Bombyx mori: one gene and its partner. The protein of the gene in region 1 interacts with the protein of each later gene in a pairwise test. Links are inferred from orthologs where the notes say so. Each region holds a gene or a part of one and is shown on either strand. Other genes may lie near its edges.

Region 1 (4,307 bases):
GTAATGGTATACAATAAATTAAATAAGGTAAAAAGAACAAAATAAATAGGAGGTTTTGCAAACTTCTTACCGTTTAATAACATTCTCTCTAGCTAATGGCTTAAAGCGAAATTTTGAACAGCGACTCGTGATTGGCGGTATGATCCTTGACACATAGTTGCAGATGAGACAGAACCGTGTAGTACGAGTCTCGCGTTCCATAGTGCGTCGAAGTGCCGCTTGAGCTGCTGTAGTCATCGAGTCTGCTTCATCCAGAATGACCAGTTTGTATGAGGGACATGGTCGACCACTATACGAACATGTAATATTTAGCAGTATTGCTTGATTATACAAACATGCACTTGTCATTGTATATATAATACATACACACAAATATGTATCTCTTATTCAAAAAAATGGGCCAAATGATTTTCTTAGTCTCAAGTTTATAGCACGACACACCCTTTTTTTATTCCTTCCATTATTATTATTAGGGATTTTCAACTTATTTTTAATTCTTAAATCTAGTGGTACGTTTTGATTAAATCATGACATGATAAAGACAGCCTGTTAATTTTGTTAAAATGTAGTTACCCATTTCAGTTCTAAGGGTGAGAGAAACATTTAGCTCTTCAATGAGCTAAGTTTGTTTAAGAATTTGCACATATTGTTTGACAATTTTTAAATAATATTTTAATATATTATCTTACTATATGCAAATAAGTATAAAGACTTTGACCTCATGTGTCAAGGTTTAAGGTTGTGGGATTTAAATTGGACATTAATGAACATTCACATGCTTAGTAACAAACTGACCTAAATCCTAAAAAAGCAAATTGTTTTCAATTGACTCTCACAATCTCAGACTCATAATGGTTTATGTCAGTACCATTATACAATCTTGGTCAAAATATACATACATAAAAGAGACAAATACATACTTAAGAAACGTTCATGAATGACTTTGACGGTGATGGAAGAACATCAGGTAATAATAATCAAACTGGCAAAAATTATAAATTGCGTAATTAATGGTGGTAGGGCGTCTTGTGTGCCCGTACAGATAGTTACGACCCCTTGCCTTTTTTGCTTTGAAGTGCCAACCAGAGCATTTCGGTTTGCAGGTGTGGCAGCCGTTGTACCGTAAAACTGAGACCTAGAACTCATGGATGGAGGAATTTATGTTGTTGCTGTTTATGAGCTCCAGTTACCACTTAAACCAAGTGGACCGTGAACTCGTCCACCCAATTTAGCAAAAAAATAATATTCATAAAAATTCTGAGATATAAATCTCTATAATTCACTTAGGATTTAAATCATAATTGATCACGCTATTAATAAGGATATGAATTATTATGTCTAAGTCATGAAAACAAATAAAAATATTATTTGGGTTTCAAGTCACCTTTACATACATTACATCTTTTATTTAGGGGCCCAAGCTAAGGTAATATAATTAATAAATTGTCCTTTTTATTGTTGCAATTAATTAGGTTTCAGTAACATCAACTGCAAGCCCTTTAAAGTTTTAAATTGATACGAACAGATGTAACATCAATTTGACGAATGTAACATCAATTTGTTAACTTGTTAACCCACTGAGTTTCTCGCTGGATATTCTCAGTGGATCGCGAGTCCGATCCTGTAGTAGATTCAGCGAACCACTGCTCTTGCTAAGGCTAGTGTTAGCAATTCCCTCTGGTTGAGCCCGTGGGCTCACCTGCCAGTCCATGTGAAGTTGGATGATTAGGAAGGGAGAAAAAATTACATGTAATCGAGTAGTTGTGGTTGAGGCTGCCACTCAAGTAAGGACCAGTTTAGTCATGGTATGTTATTATAATTGATAAGGATATAGATAAGCTAGTATGCATCTACTAATAAAATGGAGTGGTTTCGAAAAATAAAATGAATAGTAATTTATTTTTTTCGAATTAAAGGTTGTTAATAAATTATTATTTCTAAATGTAATTAGGATTAACACATTAGGATTTCATTTAACAGTTACAGTTGGTCATGGCAGCCTTTTTTAATCAGGTAAATAGGCAGGAAATTATGACTTATGTCTGCTTATTACTGCTGTATATTACAAATATTATTGGTAAAATCAGAGTACTTACTCAGCTCTTTTTCCGCTAACTGTAAGCTGGGCAAATGCTTTAACTTTATCTCTAACGACTTGTATACCGCGTTCATCGGATGCATTTAATTCCAACACGCGGTCTCGACTGATATCTCCGAAGAGTTGCTTTGCAGCGGCAAGTATGGCACTCGTTTTACCGGTACCCGGCGGTCCATAAAATAGTAAATGCGGTAGATCTCCACCGGATAAACATTCCCTTAGCACTTGAACAACCTCTCCTTGGTCCACTATATCGTCTATTGTCTTCGGTCTACTGGTAAAGAAGATTATGATACAGCAAAATTTAAATTTAGATGATTTTAGTAATATTCCTGTACTTACTATTTTTCGACCCATGGAGCTGGAGGTTTTTTCTTATTTGTAGTTTTAACTCCAGAAGTTGACGCTTTGTCTCCTGCAGATATCTTTCCAGTCTTAAGAAATGCTTGCATTTTATGAGAGTATTTACTGATTTCCTTTTCACTATTTTGAAATTCACAATTTTTTTGACCTGTTGTTGAATTGCTTTGAGTTGAATTTATCAGGCATGGGGAGCTTGTTAATACAGCCACTTTCTTGTTTTTTAGAAAGTTAACGTTTTTTAGAATTATACACGTAGACTTTTTGGCACGAACACATTAGACATAGCATTATAAGTTTCGAAAACTCTTTCGTATTATTAGTTTAATGTTCCTTCAGGTTGGAACGAATTTAAATGGCTATTTTTTTAATTTTCTAGCATCTTCAAAATTGCAGAAGTATCGTAAAATAAACTAAATCGCCGGACGTGACTTCTCGTGTTCTTCAACTCTGAAGTCCATTGAAGCTTTAGTAAATTTCCACCGTTTTACTAAGAAATAACTTTACTTCATTACGTCCAACAACCATGTAATAGTTTTATTATATAGTTTTTTATTTCTACGTAATTGTAGTAACCTATTTTATTTTCTTTAATACCATATTCAATTTAATTTTCACTTTCAGTTCTTTTATGTATACTTACTTTATATACAATAATTACTTTAATTACTGTTGGACGGTTAAATTTGAGGGGATTGGGTTCTGTAGGTGATGAGGGGCTATTTAAAAACACAACTGCTTCATTATAATTATATTGCAGATTGCTTGAACACTTTTACACCATTATACAATTATTATCTTTATATTTTTTTAATGAAACTATTACATGTTTTTCATGCCGTGTCTAGATGAGAAGTAACTGACATTTTCTTACGAGAATACAATGATCTGTTTTTTAAAACATTTAAAATAATTCCAATATTCGAAATCTAATCAAGTGTCAAGTGTTGCCTGCCATTACATTTAATATACAAACTCCAACACACCCCCTCAACACTTGCACACATTTTTCTCCGTCTATAACTTAGTACCAAAAAAGAATAATGCTAACCTGACCTTCATAAATTAATTCTTTCCATACATACCTAAAAAACCTCACAACCACTTACATTCCGTCACTTCTACATAATCCCTCTCAATTCAACCATCAACTATTCATTCAACCTTTCAAACTTAATACTATCTTTAATGTCGCTACCTTTAATCCTTTCTTACTTCTCCAACTCCAATTCGATCAAAAATGTACTTTCATTCAACCATACAACCTTAACTTCTCTCTTGACTCACTATATAAAACCTTAACTATAATAGTCTAACTCCTTCTCGACTTCCTACATAAACTCTTCAAGTTTATTTAAAACTTTTAACGCCTTCTCAACCTCTTTACTTTAATAACCTTAAACGCCTTCTCAACCTCTTTACTTTAATAACCTTAAACGCCTTCTCAACCTCTTTACTTTAATAACCTTAAACGCCTTCTCAACCTCTTTACTTTAATAACCTTAAACGCCTTCTCAACCTCTTTACTTTAATAACCTTAAACGCCTTCTCAACCTCTTTACTTTAATAACCTTAAACGCCTTCTCAACCTCTTTACTTTAATAACCTTAAACGCCTTCTCAACCTCTTTACTTTAATAACCTCCTTCTCGACCTCTTTAACCTAAACTCCTTCTCGACTCTAACCTTTAACTCCTTCTCGACTCTAACCTTTAACTCCTTCTCGACTCTAACCTTTAACTCCTTCTCGACTCTAACCTTTAACTCCTTCTCGACTCTAACCTTTAAACTCCTTTATCTCCTTCTCGACTTATTTAACGTTAATCACCCTCTCAACTTCTTTAACCTTA
Region 2 (2,882 bases), on another chromosome or scaffold:
ATTTTGTACGACTCACCTGTGAGACTTCAAATGCTTGGCCTCGGCCTGAAGATGAATATGGGCACCTCATTTTTCCGCAGCTCTCGTATAAGGGGGTTCGACGTGTGTCGTGAAAATTATAATTGGCGTAATTACTGGTGGTAGGACCTCTTGTGAGTCCGCACGGGTAGGTACCACCGCCCCGCCGATTTCTGCCGTGAAGCAGTAATGCGTTTCGGTTTGAAGGGCGGGGCAGCCGTTATAACTATACTGAGACCTTAGAACTTATATCTCAAGGTGGGTGGCGCATTTACGTTGTAGATTTCTATGGGCTCCAGTGACCACTTAGCACCAGGTGGGCTGTGAGCTCGTCCAACTATCGAAGCAAAAAAAAAGATCGGTTTGCCAATTTGAATGCATAATCCCACTTACGCATTAAAATTGGCACTTCTAACAATGCCTTGGGTTAGACGACGGCATTAACATCAACAGGTATCAGCAGAACCTAAATACCAAGTAAAATAATGACTGGTCTGTTTACATAATTAAAAAAAAAGCTCTCTTTATTCAATCTATTTATTTTCCGATACTCAAATCGTTCAACAGCTTATCGAAAACGTCATCGACGTCGCTGCTGCTCTTCGGCATGAAATCGTCCATCAGTCCGTTTTGGAAGCTCCCGAATTCGTCATTGGCTCCCGCGTCCGCCAGCCCTAGCTCTGTCAGGAGTGTCAAGTTGTCCGAAACGTCATTATTCTCGGACCTGTCAATGTCAACGGTGTCGATACCCGGGAGAAGCTGTTCGGTAGCGTCATTGTGCTCATTGTCGTCCGTCTGACGTTTCTTCATCAACTTCGCCTCTCTCGTGTCGTTAACAGACAAATCGTGGTACTCTTGTATTTCTTTTGCGTATTCTATATCTTCATCTTGGACGTCCTAGATTTTTTCAATTTAAAAAAAAAGTGTTTTGTTTACCTATTCGCTTGTAGGTGAGCTCACAGGCTCAACCTGAGAGAATTTAATAACACTCGCCCTAGCGAGAGCAGTGCTTCGCTAAATCTACCACCAGATCGGAAGCGCAACCCACTGAGAAGATTCGATGAGAAACTCAATGGGTTAATGAATATGTTCCTTCGAGCTTCGCGATTTCTTTTTAAATAAGGCAAGCGCGGCTTCGATCACATTACCAGAATCCGTGTTAGTTACATATCAGCAATAATAAACAGACTACCCACGCGGTTAGCATTAAACTACAGCACAAGGAAGACAGTAGGGGCTTAGCAGTAATACGAAATATTAACAAAAAAAGCTAGTCCTCATCAACATCATCATCATCATCAGCCTATAGCTGTCCACTGCTGGACACAGGCTTCTCCAACTGCCCGTCCAGCTCTTGCCAGCCACGTGTAGGTGTGCTCACCTTGCCAGTCCTGCATTTCATCTACCAATTCGTTTTCACCCAAGAACACGTTTACTCCAACGGTTATCGGTCCTCCGGGTAAACAGTCGACGTCGCCCTAAACACGTAATTACGAATCCTCCCGATTCATTAACGGTGCTTTTAGGTACCTCAAGCACCAGTCACCATCCTCGCCGAACCCGTCACTTGCGACGAAGAGCTCGACGAGTAAATTAGCCCATAGACATAGCCAACTGAGTTTATCGCCGGATCTTCTCAGTGGGTCGCGTTTCCGATCCGGTGGTAGCAGAGGCGGATTATCCGTAAGGCAAACTAGGCACGTGCCTAGGGGCGCGCGCGCGAGCTCAGAATTTTTAAATAAATAAAGAAAATAACATATCGACGATTAAGGACTAAATGCTGATCTATAATCTAAATGCATAATAGATTATTCCTATTTGGCCTATTTCCCAGAGCAGAGAGTAATCATGAATTTCGATGTTCGTTCTGTCGTCCCTCTTGATTTCTTCACAGTTATAACGTCATATTTCATTTGCGCATTAGCGTAAGTACAAGGGTCCTGGTCTACTAAAGTCTAGGGTTTGATGATACAACGTCATCGTAATTGCAAAAACAACTAGTTAAAGATTATAGTATTATGATGGCCATTTATGGCCGGTACAGGGACGCCCAATAAAGTGATTGCCTAGGGCGCTCTGGACCTTTAATCCGCCACTGGGTGGTAGATTCTGCGAAGCACTGCTCTTGCTAGGGACAGTGTTAGCAACACTTCCAGTTTGAGCCCCGTGAGCTCACCTACAACTTAGGGCGAAGCTGATATAGCCTCTCAACGCTATCAGCATATGTAAGAGAAAAAAAGGTCCTCTGGCTAATGTGGCCGGTCCATTGCCACTTCAGCTAACTACTCAGCTGTACTAAGCCGATTTCAAAAAAATAAAATGCGAACATCATTAGAATAGTCGAAGTTAATTGAATATGCATTATTAAATAGACTTAAATGGAACCTCATGAGTAGAAACAGTCTTCAAATAAATAAAAAGGACTATTAAAATTGGTTCAACTAGAAGGATAAGCTGCTCCATTTTTAAGTGGGTTAAAAACACTTACCTCACTAATTTGACCTGCCGATTTATACTGAAAACAGTTCTGCGAGAGGTCAACTTCGACTGGGAACAATGTAGAATTCTCCATTAAATGCTCCAAGGTTTCGCTGTAAAAGGTTTTTAAGTAAACTCTTTCATTAACGGCCTATATTTTGTTTCTATATTGGAGTATCCCAAATTTCAGTAAAACCGGATGTCTTCAACGAACGATACCGTAATATCTCCACAGCCTTATTCACGGAGACTTACTTGTGGTAAACGGCCAGTCCCTGAATGAACTTCTTGAGTTGATGGGCGACGTCCTGCGCTTTCTTATTCTCTAGAAGCTCCAGCTTTACCAGAACGTCCGACCTGAGTCTGGCGAACCTTGTTCTGGCGTC

The links.
Region 2: the proteins of replication factor C4 (region 1) and PRKCA-binding protein interact in a two-hybrid assay, tested with the Caenorhabditis elegans proteins (3 studies listed by BioGRID). The link is inferred for Bombyx mori from reciprocal best matches to the Caenorhabditis elegans genes rfc-4 and Y57G11C.22.

Annotation. Positions count from the first base shown.
Region 1 is NC_085121.1:12,204,954-12,209,260, reverse strand, and holds the start of replication factor C4, read right to left. Parts: upstream 2,853-4,307; 5' UTR 2,551-2,852; coding exon 2,441-2,550; intron 2,373-2,440; coding exon 2,097-2,372; intron 290-2,096; coding exon 71-289; intron 1-70. UniProt on the Caenorhabditis elegans protein: The elongation of primed DNA templates by DNA polymerase delta and epsilon requires the action of the accessory proteins PCNA and activator 1. This subunit may be involved in the elongation of the multiprimed DNA template.
Region 2 is NC_085134.1:7,524,720-7,527,601, forward strand, and holds the end of PRKCA-binding protein, read right to left. Parts: coding exon 2,752-2,882; intron 2,610-2,751; coding exon 2,507-2,609; intron 916-2,506; coding exon 556-915; 3' UTR 542-555; downstream 1-541.